3 linked regions of the Saccharomyces cerevisiae S288C genome follow. The protein of the gene in region 1 interacts with the protein of each later gene in a biochemical or structural test. Each region holds a gene or a part of one and is shown in the gene's direction. Other genes may lie near its edges.

Region 1 (3,196 bases):
TAGATGCAAAATGTGTGCATTCTATGCCGAATTTGAACGAGAGGATAGATAAGTTCTTGAAGAAAGACTTCAATAAAGATCACCAAACACAAGTAAGACTGCTCAATAATATCAACAAGATTTATGAAGAACTGATGCCATCGCTGGAGGAGAAAATGCATGTCTCATCCATTATGCTGGATAATCTAGACAGATTGACGTCCCGGTTAGAATTGGCGTATGAAGTCGCAATCAAGAACACAGAAATTCCTAGAGGTTTAAGACTGGGTGTGGACAACCATCCAGCAATGCACCTCCATCATGAACTAATGGAAAAAATAGAGAGCAAATCAAACAGCAAATCGTCGCAGGCACTGAAGAGCGAATCAAGAAGAGAAGCCATGGCTGCCAACAGGAGGCAGGGCGAACATTACTCCGCCAGCACACACCAACAAGACGACTCAAAGAACGACGCAAACTACGGAGGCAGCAGGCACGAGAGCCAAGACCACACTGGTAACAACACAAACTCAAGAAAAAGAGCCAACGCTGCCAATACCAACAACGCCGATCCAGAGACCAAAAAACGCAAGAGGAGAGTTGCCACCACAGCCGTTTCACCAAGCACTATCAGCACGGCAACTGCCGTCAATAATGGCAGGATAGGTACATCTACAGCGTCCAGGGGAGTTAGCAGCGTCGGAAACAGCAACAACAGCAGGATATCAAGACCAAAAACCAACGACTACGGCGAACCGCTCTACTGCTACTGTAACCAAGTGGCATACGGGGAAATGGTGGGGTGTGATGGCGCAGACTGTGAGCTAGAATGGTTCCATTTGCCATGTATTGGACTCGAAACTCTACCTAAGGGCAAGTGGTATTGCGACGACTGCAAAAAAAAACTGTGAAATAGCTCTCGGGCGAATATCGCCTTAAGGAAATATCTACTAAATACCGAATATATACATATATATATATCTTAGCTACATATATATATATCTTAGCGTTTTAACGGGCGTGGCCGTATCAATGGATCTGCAAGATACTTGGGCCCTACCGGTCTAGATAAAATATTCAAATCGATGGTGATGACGGCACGATAAAACGTAATAAATGATGAAATGACTTGTCACGGCGTAGCAGCGCCAGCAGCTCAGTCTAATCGCCGTACAGTGGGTGGTGTGGCTAATCGCTTAGGCTTTTTATTCAGAAGGACCTTTTCATTCACCTCGCCCCCCTTGGAGGTTCCTGCCTGACCCCTTTGCCCCTGGCCTCGCCCCTGCGCCATGTCTCTGCCTGGAGCGTGACATTTAGGACGGTGAAGCTAGGCAGGCCTTCAGAAATTAAACGGAACATGACAGCAAAGACGAAACAAAGCTGGAATAAGGGGATCTGGGAAAACGGGAAACAAGGTTCACATCAGCAAACATTTCTACCGAAAATCTGGGTAAACATTTATAGTACCCCAACATCTTAAGTTTTAGCCGTTGTCTTCTCTTATCGCCTAGAATCGCTCATTTCAAGCGTAACGCAATCCGGCTTTTGTTTTTTTTCCATTTTATTCATCCACTCTTTATCTGACTCTTCTGCACTATATTAATCAACTAGGAGAAAATTACTTGAGCAGAAAGATACGAGAGAATTACGGATAAAAAAACCAAGTTAACCGTTTTCGAATTGAAAGGAGATATACAGAAAAAAAAATGCCTTTGAACAAGTCGAACATAAGAGAGTACAAGCTAGTCGTCGTTGGTGGTGGTGGTGTTGGTAAATCTGCTTTGACCATACAATTGACCCAATCGCACTTTGTAGATGAATACGATCCCACAATTGAGGATTCATACAGGAAGCAAGTGGTGATTGATGATGAAGTGTCTATATTGGACATTTTGGATACTGCAGGGCAGGAAGAATACTCTGCTATGAGGGAACAATACATGCGCAACGGCGAAGGATTCCTATTGGTTTACTCTATAACGTCCAAGTCGTCTCTTGATGAGCTTATGACTTACTATCAACAGATATTGAGAGTCAAAGATACCGACTATGTTCCAATTGTGGTTGTTGGTAACAAATCTGATTTAGAAAACGAAAAACAGGTCTCTTACCAGGACGGGTTGAACATGGCAAAGCAAATGAACGCTCCTTTCTTGGAGACATCTGCTAAGCAAGCAATCAACGTGGAAGAGGCGTTTTACACTCTAGCACGTTTAGTTAGAGACGAAGGCGGCAAGTACAACAAGACTTTGACGGAAAATGACAACTCCAAGCAAACTTCTCAAGATACAAAAGGGAGCGGTGCCAACTCTGTGCCTAGAAATAGCGGTGGCCACAGGAAGATGAGCAATGCTGCCAACGGTAAAAATGTGAACAGTAGCACAACTGTCGTGAATGCCAGGAATGCAAGCATAGAGAGTAAGACAGGGTTGGCAGGCAACCAGGCGACAAATGGTAAGACACAAACTGATCGCACCAATATAGACAATTCCACGGGCCAAGCTGGTCAGGCCAACGCTCAAAGCGCTAATACGGTTAATAATCGTGTAAATAATAATAGTAAGGCCGGTCAAGTTTCAAATGCTAAACAGGCTAGGAAGCAGCAAGCTGCACCCGGCGGTAACACCAGTGAAGCCTCCAAGAGCGGATCGGGTGGCTGTTGTATTATAAGTTAATAAAAAGGAAATAGTTGTAGAAACGCTAAGACGAAAAGAACTCTATAAAGTTGAAACGAGTACACACATTTATAAATATATACAAAAGTAAATAAAAAAGTGACTGTTTTTATATTGCTTATTGCCATTTGCTATTTCCGTTTCATTCTTGTTAACATTGGAAACTTTGGGCAATATCATATGGTTGCCGGGTAAAGGAAAAAACAAACAACATCGCTATAACATAAAATTGGACATTGCAGAGAGTCATCAATCACATCCATTTTCACAAGAAAGAGGTGTTCCACCTGGAATAACAAGCTTCTCTTTCCCCTTAGAATGACATCTAAAGTTGGTGAATATGAGGACGTTCCAGAGGATGAGTCCCGCCTCACAGAAGAGAACGTATCCGTACCTGAAGAAGAAGTAGAAGACGAAGACGAGGAAGAAGACGACGATGATGATCATATATATATCAATGAAGAAACAGAATCTGGTCGCGAAAAGGTCTTGGTATCACATGCCCCACAAGAACGTATCGTTCCACCTTTGAATTTCTGTCC
Region 2 (3,473 bases), on another chromosome or scaffold:
TCAAATTGAGCACTCAGTTTACCGTCTTGGGTGGTAGAAGTCCAGTCATCAGGCCAGGTCATATCCTTCCAAGTACCTTCATTAATCATAGGTTCGATGGTGAAAACCATACCTGGTTTCATAACACCAGGTGTTCTATTCTTGGCGTAGTGGGGAATATTTGGGGAACAATGGAAAAATTCACCAACACCATGTCCACAATAAGTTCTTACTACACTGCACTTATTTTCGGTAGCGTGTTTTTCAATATGATCACCTAACTCTTGGAAGGTGGTACCTGGCTTACACATTTTAATGGCTAGTTTCAAACATTCTCTTGAGGTCTCAGTAGTATTAAGAGCTTCCTTAGAAATGTTTTCGCCGACATAATATGTCTCATTCAAGTCTGCATGATAACCTTGGTAGTATAAGGAAACATCTAAATTGACAATATCACCTTCCTTCAAGACAGTTTTATCGGGCACACCGTGACAAATAACTTCATTGACAGAGGTACAAAGCGATTTAGGAAAGTTGTAATAATTAAGAGGGGAAGGGTAGGCACCTCTCTTAATTGTTTCATTGTGGACGATTTCATCTAATTCATCTGTAGTGATGCCTGGTCTGACATGGGCAGCGGCAATATCAAGAACTTCTCTACCCAACATACATGCCTTTCTAATCTTCTTAATTTGATCTTTCTTGTATATAGGGATGTTGTTAAGTCTATCATTTCTTTGTTCACTGACTGGTAGCCCATTAGCGGCCCAGTCCGGTTTAGGAATATCTTCAGGGACATACCTTCTTGGGGTAAGTGGATATGAAGCCTTCACTTTACCAGAATATTTGAATTTTGGGAAAGGATCATAAGCACCTTCCAAGCCGTCCTTAGCATTGTGCAAAGCTTTGTGAGCTTTGTAGTTGTTTTCATAACAGCTTGTGTCGCAGAAAATGGAAACGATGCCTTGTTTTAGACAAACAGGGCATTTCATTTGGGACGAAGTTTCTCTACCACATTGCAAACCGGAGCAATATATCTTGGTAGGATGAGAAGCCTGATCGGAGGTAGTAACTGTTGTAGTTGCAGTGCTCATTATACAATTTTTTTGCTTATTTTTTTCTTGCTAGGAATATACACAATAGCGTTCTTGGGATGAATAATAATAATATCAGTTTTTCTTCTTTATATGAAAAATGAAAAAAAAAAAAAATAAGTAAAAAATTTTCGCTTTCTTTTCGGGGAGCAGCCAAATAAAGATTGCTGCTAGTTTAAATGAGATGGACCAAAAGCCATGGGCAGCAGTTCTCCCATTGTCATGACTTTAGAACGAGAACCTGTGGAATTAAGCATGACTATTGGAAAGTCCTTGACCACAAATTCATTGATAAACTGCCTGCAAACGCCGCAAGGGGAAACACACTGGTCCTCAGAATCGCCACAAATGACCATGCATTTCCATCCTGAGCGATGGCCTGCCATTAGAACTTGTATCATAGCAGATCGTTCTGCACATATACAATTACTGTAGCTTGCATTCTCGACATTAGCACCAGTGAAGATAACATCGTTATTTGTTAATATGGAACAACCGACACGGAAGTGAGAATAGGGGCTATAGGAGAGTTCACACGCCTTCAGTGCCGCCCTTTTTAAGGCTTCCAGTTGTCTGTCTTCTATGCCACCTACTTTCATTACCTTATTTCTCTGCTTGAGATTCTCTGTTTGGTTTTCCTAGTTTCTTGTACATAAACAGTTTGTGTTTATTTTGTCAAACTACTCGGAAATTGGCGAGCAGCGCCTTATCAAGATTACAGTTTGCAAATATAAAAATGTAAAGGAAAGAAAGCGTAAGGTAACAAGAAGAGAAACGGGGAAGATAATGGCCTTGGTCTCTAGAAGGTCGACAAGATCGGAAAGCACCTCAATAACAAAGGAAGAGCATACAGGAGAAGGTTCATTGACGAAGTTGTTCTTCCGATGGCTTGTTACCTTGGAGGGTGATCAGGATATAAACGATGGAAAAGGTTATATATCGTTACCGAATGTCTCGAATTATATATTCTTCCTTGGTGGCAGGTTCAGGACAGTAAAGGGCGCCAAACCGTTGTGGTTAGGTGTTCTCCTTGCTATTGTATGTCCCATGGTTCTCTTCTCCATATTTGAGGCTCACAAATTGTGGCATACCCAAAATGGTTATAAAGTGCTGGTCATTTTCTTCTATTATTTTTGGGTCATAACGCTAGCATCCTTTATCAGAACAGCCACTAGTGATCCTGGCGTTCTTCCGAGAAATATTCATTTAAGTCAACTAAGAAATAATTATCAGATCCCGCAAGAATATTACAACTTGATAACACTACCAACACATTCTTCAATTTCAAAAGACATTACTATCAAGTATTGTCCATCATGTAGGATATGGAGACCACCTCGGTCTTCTCACTGTTCCACATGTAACGTCTGCGTAATGGTTCATGACCACCATTGCATATGGGTCAATAATTGCATAGGAAAAAGGAACTACCGGTTCTTTTTAATATTCCTGTTAGGTGCAATACTTTCGTCCGTCATATTATTAACTAATTGTGCCATCCATATTGCACGGGAATCAGGGGGGCCTCGCGATTGTCCCGTTGCAATATTGTTACTTTGCTATGCAGGGCTAACCTTATGGTATCCGGCAATACTGTTTACTTATCACATATTTATGGCAGGTAATCAGCAAACAACAAGGGAATTTTTGAAAGGTATTGGATCGAAAAAAAACCCTGTATTCCATCGTGTGGTCAAGGAGGAAAACATATATAATAAGGGGTCCTTTTTGAAAAATATGGGTCACTTGATGTTAGAACCAAGGGGCCCAAGCTTTGTAAGTGCCAGAAAGCCACATGAAGCTGGAGATTGGAGATTTATGGATTTATCGCCAGCACACAGCTTTGAAAAAATACAGAAAATATAAGGAAGTATAGATATAAAGAACTCAGCGACACAGTAGTACGTAAAATATAAAAAGGTTACTGAAAGGAGTGAATTCCGCCATAGTATAGGTTGAGTATACGCAAATAAACGTTGGAAATTGGCTAGAATGTTAAAAAAAACATTCATTAAAAGGTTCTTTTCGTATAACTTTTACAACAAATAAGTGGTTGTTTGGCCGAGCGGTCTAAGGCGCCTGATTCAAGAAAATATCTTGACTGCAGTTAACTGTAGGAATACTCAGGTATCGTAAGATGCAAGAGTTCGAATCTCTTAGCAACCATTATTTTTGCCTTCCGAAAATTTTGAAGCTACATATTAGCACTCTTCTTCAGATGTCAGACAACGTGCAGCATCTTTTTTTCCTACCATTGAATATATATATAGTAATTACGGCAACCGTTTATATAAAAATTCAAAAGATTAAATATTTTAATATATTAGTGTCTGGTTTAAAAGTCATACTTCTCTAATCACTACCGTGAAAAAAGCAGTTCCATAAGTGTTCATTACTGAC
Region 3 (7,132 bases), on another chromosome or scaffold:
GACGATCATTGGAATTTAGTTAGATTACGTAGATTACGTAAAGGGAGAGAAGGGGAAGAACAGTCATCGAAGTCAGAAATATCTTTGGATAGTTTGCATGAAAGCTCCTTTGCAGGAGAGGACGACGAGGACTTCGATGCAGATGTCCTATCGAACACTAGCAGTGAAGAGTCTGCACAGATGAATCGTATTTACGATTTTAGAACATCTAATGAATTTAGTAATGCTGGAGTTAATATTGATCAAACTGGAGTTCCCACTATTTCAGAGTCATTTGATACTTTGTCCGGCTCAAATGTTGGCGGAACGGTATTGCCAAGTATGGAGGGGTCGAAACTGAAGGATAGTACGATAAGGAATTCTAGCACACTATCGGATCATATCATAGATAAAAGTGAGGGTAAATCTGCTAAATTGAAGATGTGGCATGTTATCATGCTATCTTCATTGCTTTCCATGACCTTTTCATACCTCGCCCTCGAATATTCCCTGACTGGTGATGTGTTGGCAGGTTTTAAATCACAACAGTCATTACGTAATAATGAAAGGAAGCTGTTGTACGGCAATATCGATTTTGTTGATAAAAAATCTTACGATTCATCAAGTGACTCTTTAAGTCAGTGGGCTCCTTCAGGAAAATACTACGTCGACTTCGACAATCATATTGCATACCCATTAAAGGATGATGACCTAATGGGCTGGAGACGATACAAAACAGACTTAGTTATTTTATGGTATACAACAAAAGCTCGAATGAAAGACGGTTGGCACAAGAGAATTAACAAAATAAACGGAGGAAGAATAAAGTTACACCTATTTCTCAAGAATTCTTTTAAATCCGCTCAAGAAAGTTTAAGGGTATTGCATAAAGAACAGAAACGCCGCTGGAAAAGGCTCTTTGTGCTACTTCATAATAAATACAGGCAATTTTCTCCACATATTAAAAGGTATTTCGATCATTCTTGCCAAAAAGCAAAACAATGTTGGTCGGGATCCAGATTGCAGTTGCGCAAGCTTCGTTTCAAGTCAATGAAACCATTCCGAGTTTTTCAGTTTAAGGTTCGCAAAGATACCAACTGGTTTGTAAAGCAGCTGAAACGGTTCGGATTGAAATTACAGCATTCGAGGATGTATAAAGCGATGTCAGAATGCAGGAAAAAAAATTATTTTAAGTGCAAACACTAGATCATCCAAAACCCAGCATGAAGAATGAAATTAACAAAAGAAAAAAAAAACGACTGCTTAGTAGGAGTGTCATATATCCCTCCTTTAAATTTTTTTACACTTACTTTCCTTTTTTTATTGAGAATAGAAAAGGTGCATCTCTCTCTCTCTCTCTCTCTATCTCTATCTCTAAGGTTTTATTACTTTCATAACGTATGCTATCCATCTCTTTTCCTTTTTTTTTGTTTTGTTATTCCCTTTTTTTACTCAGTTAGATTCATACTACTATATTTACATATTCTTCGAAGCTTTTATGAGTTAAATATTTTGTTGCTTTATGGGGCAGAAAATAGTCGACGTCAGTCACCTCCAGGTTATTATGTAATTCGCTAAAACGACTTTTAAACATCGCGGGAGACGGATCTTTGACAGAGACCTGGAGGAAAAAATAAAATAGAAAAATAAGCTCAAAAGTTACAGAGAAAACTGCATCACCAACACGGCGGAGACAGTTATAGTGACTTGATCACCGTGAAGCAATTCCTTTAGTTAGATAGACTGTTTCTTTTTCGGAAAGAAATTGAATAAAAAGAGCCACATTTTTCTTCGAATAAATACTAAAAAATAAAACGAAAAAGCAAGGTGGATATTGGATAGTTGTATCATGTCCGATACTAACACGTCTATTCCCAATACAAGTTCTGCAAGGGAGGCAGGCAATGCTTCACAAACTCCATCGATCAGCTCTTCATCTAACACTTCCACTACCACTAACACAGAATCATCCTCAGCTTCTCTTTCTTCTTCCCCCTCGACAAGTGAGTTGACCAGCATTCGTCCAATTGGAATAGTAGTCGCTGCTTATGACTTTAATTATCCCATTAAAAAAGACAGTTCTTCGCAACTTTTGTCTGTACAACAAGGGGAAACCATTTATATACTTAACAAAAACTCATCTGGGTGGTGGGATGGATTAGTTATTGACGACAGTAATGGGAAAGTTAACAGAGGCTGGTTTCCTCAAAACTTCGGTAGACCTTTAAGAGACAGTCATCTCAGAAAGCACAGTCATCCGATGAAAAAATATAGTTCCAGTAAGAGCTCAAGGCGCAGCAGCTTAAATAGCTTGGGCAATAGTGCATATTTACATGTGCCTAGAAATCCGAGCAAGAGCAGGAGGGGGAGTTCTACTTTATCAGCGTCTTTATCAAATGCCCACAATGCAGAAACAAGTTCCGGCCACAATAACACCGTATCGATGAATAATTCTCCCTTTTCAGCGCCAAACGATGCTTCCCACATAACCCCTCAATCTTCGAACTTTAATTCCAATGCTAGTCTATCCCAGGATATGACAAAGAGTGCAGATGGCTCATCTGAGATGAATACAAACGCAATTATGAATAACAATGAAACAAATTTACAAACTTCTGGTGAGAAAGCAGGTCCCCCACTAGTAGCAGAAGAAACAATTAAGATATTACCGTTGGAAGAGATAGAAATGATTATTAATGGTATACGTTCGAACATTGCTTCGACTTGGTCCCCCATACCACTGATAACGAAAACATCCGATTACAAGTTGGTATACTATAACAAAGACCTTGATATATACTGTTCAGAATTACCCTTGATTTCTAACTCAATTATGGAATCCGATGACATTTGTGACAGCGAACCAAAATTCCCGCCCAATGATCATCTTGTTAACCTATATACTAGAGATCTGAGGAAAAATGCGAATATTGAGGACAGTTCTACGAGATCGAAGCAATCGGAAAGTGAACAAAATAGATCAAGCCTTCTAATGGAAAAACAGGATTCAAAAGAAACTGATGGAAATAATAACAGTATTAATGATGATGATAATAATAACGAAAATAACAAAAACGAATTCAATGAGGCTGGTCCTTCATCATTAAATTCTTTATCTGCTCCAGATTTAACGCAGAATATTCAATCAAGGGTAGTTGCCCCAAGTCGCTCTTCTATACTGGCCAAGAGTGACATCTTTTATCACTATTCAAGAGATATAAAATTGTGGACAGAATTACAAGACCTAACAGTTTATTATACTAAAACGGCTCACAAGATGTTCCTTAAAGAGAATCGTCTCAATTTCACGAAATACTTTGATTTGATATCAGATTCAATAGTCTTCACACAGTTAGGCTGCAGGCTAATGCAACATGAAATTAAAGCCAAAAGTTGCAGCAAGGAGATTAAGAAGATTTTCAAAGGTCTAATCTCTTCATTGTCAAGGATAAGTATCAATTCTCATTTATATTTCGATTCAGCTTTTCACAGAAAAAAAATGGATACTATGAATGACAAGGATAACGATAATCAGGAAAATAATTGTTCTAGGACGGAAGGGGATGATGGTAAAATTGAAGTAGATAGTGTACATGATCTAGTTTCAGTTCCATTGTCCGGTAAACGTAATGTAAGTACCAGTACAACGGATACATTGACTCCAATGAGATCATCATTCAGTACAGTCAATGAGAACGATATGGAAAATTTCTCAGTCTTAGGTCCAAGAAATAGTGTTAATTCTGTCGTAACACCAAGGACTTCAATACAAAATTCTACTTTGGAAGATTTTTCACCGTCCAACAAAAATTTTAAGTCAGCTAAATCGATTTACGAAATGGTTGATGTGGAATTCTCGAAATTTTTAAGGCATGTTCAGTTACTTTATTTTGTGTTACAGAGCTCAGTCTTCTCAGATGATAATACTTTACCACAGTTGCTCCCAAGATTTTTTAAAGGTTCATTTAGCGGTGGTTCTTGGACAAATCCATTTTCGACTTTTATTACGGATGAATTTGGTAATGCGACAAAGAACAAAGCTGTCACATCTAATGAAGTGACCGCTTCGTCGTCCAAAAATTCCTCAATATCAAGGATTCCACCAAAGATGGCAGATGCTATTGCCTCTGCGTCAGGATATAGCGCTAATTCAGAAACAAATTCCCAAATTGATTTAAAAGCAAGCAGTGCCGCGTCTGGTTCAGTTTTTACACCTTTCAACCGTCCTTCTCATAACAGAACCTTTTCAAGAGCAAGAGTTTCAAAAAGGAAGAAAAAATATCCATTAACTGTAGACACTTTGAATACAATGAAGAAGAAATCCTCGCAAATTTTTGAAAAATTAAATAATGCTACAGGTGAACACTTAAAAATTATAAGTAAACCCAAAAGCAGAATTAGGAATTTGGAAATAAATTCAAGCACATACGAACAAATAAATCAGAATGTTTTACTATTGGAGATACTGGAGAATTTAGATCTGTCAATTTTCATCAATTTGAAAAACCTGATTAAGACACCCAGTATTTTGTTGGATTTGGAAAGCGAGGAATTTTTAGTTCACGCCATGTCTTCGGTCTCCTCAGTACTAACAGAGTTTTTTGATATAAAGCAGGCTTTTCATGACATCGTCATCAGATTAATAATGACAACGCAACAAACGACCTTAGACGACCCGTATTTGTTTTCCTCAATGAGGTCCAATTTCCCTGTCGGACATCATGAACCTTTCAAGAATATCTCTAATACACCTTTGGTCAAGGGCCCCTTCCATAAAAAAAATGAACAATTGGCACTCTCCTTATTTCACGTATTGGTGAGTCAAGATGTGGAGTTCAATAACCTTGAATTTTTAAACAACTCCGACGATTTTAAAGATGCTTGTGAAAAGTATGTCGAGATTTCTAATCTTGCGTGTATTATTGTTGATCAATTGATTGAAGAAAGAGAAAATTTGCTGAACTACGCAGCAAGAATGATGAAGAATAATTTGACTGCAGAACTATTGAAAGGTGAGCAAGAAAAATGGTTTGATATTTATTCCGAGGACTATAGTGATGACGATTCAGAAAATGATGAAGCTATCATCGATGACGAATTAGGATCTGAGGACTATATTGAACGCAAAGCTGCGAACATAGAGAAAAACCTTCCATGGTTTTTAACTTCAGATTATGAAACTAGTCTTGTCTATGACTCAAGAGGAAAAATTCGTGGCGGGACAAAAGAGGCACTGATTGAACATTTAACCAGTCATGAACTTGTTGATGCGGCTTTCAATGTTACAATGTTAATAACTTTCAGAAGTATATTAACCACAAGAGAGTTTTTTTATGCCCTGATTTACAGGTACAACTTGTATCCTCCTGAAGGGCTGAGTTACGATGATTACAATATTTGGATAGAAAAAAAGTCAAACCCGATTAAATGCCGTGTGGTCAACATTATGAGAACATTTTTGACGCAGTATTGGACAAGAAATTATTATGAACCTGGCATACCACTGATTCTAAATTTTGCCAAGATGGTTGTATCGGAGAAAATACCGGGGGCAGAGGATCTTTTGCAAAAGATAAATGAAAAACTGATAAATGAGAATGAGAAAGAACCAGTGGATCCTAAGCAACAAGATTCGGTATCGGCAGTCGTACAGACAACTAAACGTGACAATAAATCACCGATACACATGTCTTCGTCTTCTTTACCATCTTCTGCTTCTTCAGCGTTTTTTAGATTGAAGAAATTGAAGCTCTTGGATATTGACCCATACACATATGCCACACAATTGACTGTACTTGAACATGACTTATACCTCAGGATCACTATGTTTGAATGCTTGGATAGGGCATGGGGTACCAAGTATTGTAATATGGGTGGTTCTCCGAACATTACGAAATTTATAGCTAATGCTAATACGCTAACTAATTTTGTTTCTCATACCATTGTAAAACAGGCAGATGTCAAGACACGTTCAAAATTAACGCAATATTTTGTTACCGTTGCCCAGCATTGTAAAGAGTTGAATAATTTTTCTTCAATGACTGCCATAGTGTCCGCTTTGTATTCCTCCCCAATCTACCGACTGAAAAAGACATGGGATTTAGTTTCCACTGAGTCGAAGGACCTTCTGAAGAACCTAAACAACCTTATGGATTCCAAGAGAAATTTTGTGAAGTATAGAGAGCTGTTGCGATCCGTGACGGACGTTGCATGTGTTCCCTTTTTTGGTGTATACCTATCTGATTTAACATTTACGTTTGTCGGAAACCCAGATTTTCTTCACAATTCAACCAACATAATAAACTTCAGCAAGAGGACTAAAATCGCAAATATAGTGGAGGAAATTATAAGCTTTAAAAGATTCCATTACAAGCTGAAACGATTGGATGATATTCAGACCGTTATAGAAGCGTCTTTGGAAAATGTCCCCCACATTGAAAAGCAGTATCAATTATCACTGCAAGTGGAACCGAGATCAGGAAACACCAAAGGCAGTACGCATGCTTCTTCTGCTAGCGGTACAAAAACTGCAAAATTCCTAAGTGAATTTACAGATGATAAAAATGGCAATTTTTTGAAGCTAGGTAAGAAAAAACCTCCTTCTAGGTTATTTCGATAAAAGTTTATACAATTTGCTAATCAAGAAGAACCTTAGCTTTATGTTTGATTGCTACACTCTATTATTTAAGATGGCTGCTTTTACTTAATATTCTTCGTGATAATACTGTACTGGTGGAGTGTTTTTCGTTTTCGAGGATTTGAGAGTACGCTTCATTTGCAGTTCTTCTTGATAAAGTTCGTTTTATATATATATATCTATTTTATATCTTTATATATTTTATTACACCCAGTTAAGTTATCGATCCAAGATTTTAAATGCCCGATTAGAGGAAACTTATTACCTGAAAAAATATCAATTAGTGATTCTATGAAAAGCTATTACCCGCATTCTCATAGTTCGGATTTTCAGATCCAGCAATATAAGAGAACCAAATGTAGCAGAAACGTCAAATAGTAAGCAACAGGAGTTACATTTGAGGTGATTTTAACTTAGGGAAACATTTGCTGATTCAATGTTCAAACAGCTGTCACAAATTGGTAAGAATCTTACCGATGAATTAGCGAAGGGCTTAGCCGATGATATGAGCCCTAC

The links. The genes of interacting proteins can lie anywhere in the genome.
Region 2: of the proteins of RAS2 (region 1) and ERF2, one has a biochemical effect on the other in vitro, tested with the Saccharomyces cerevisiae proteins (2 studies listed by BioGRID).
Region 3: the proteins of RAS2 (region 1) and CDC25 form a complex in vitro, tested with the Saccharomyces cerevisiae proteins (6 studies listed by BioGRID, with this or other methods).

Annotation. Positions count from the first base shown.
Region 1 is NC_001146.8:439,060-442,255, reverse strand, and holds RAS2 (Ras family GTPase RAS2), read left to right. Parts: upstream 1-1,685; coding exon 1,686-2,654; downstream 2,655-3,196. Other genes in the region: PHO23 (Pho23p), read left to right, coding at 1-890; PLS1 (Pls1p), read left to right, coding at 1,337-1,459; putative tyrosine protein phosphatase OCA1, read left to right, coding at 2,973-3,196. UniProt on the Saccharomyces cerevisiae protein: The S.cerevisiae Ras proteins modulate the activity of the adenylate cyclase catalytic subunit and therefore affect the biosynthesis of cyclic-AMP.
Region 2 is NC_001144.5:625,259-628,731, forward strand, and holds ERF2 (palmitoyltransferase ERF2), read left to right. Parts: upstream 1-1,859; coding exon 1,860-2,939; downstream 2,940-3,473. Other genes in the region: methionine aminopeptidase MAP1, read right to left, coding at 1-1,073; CDD1 (cytidine deaminase), read right to left, coding at 1,244-1,672; E3 ubiquitin-protein ligase IRC20, read right to left, coding at 3,426-3,473. UniProt on the Saccharomyces cerevisiae protein: The ERF2-SHR5 complex is a palmitoyltransferase specific for Ras proteins. Palmitoylates RAS2, which is required for its proper plasma membrane localization.
Region 3 is NC_001144.5:751,690-758,821, reverse strand, and holds CDC25 (Ras family guanine nucleotide exchange factor CDC25), read left to right. Parts: upstream 1-1,828; coding exon 1,829-6,598; downstream 6,599-7,132. Other genes in the region: ATG39 (Atg39p), read left to right, coding at 1-1,185; IMH1 (Imh1p), read left to right, coding at 7,053-7,132. UniProt on the Saccharomyces cerevisiae protein: Promotes the exchange of Ras-bound GDP by GTP. This protein positively controls the level of cellular cAMP at start, the stage at which the yeast cell division cycle is triggered.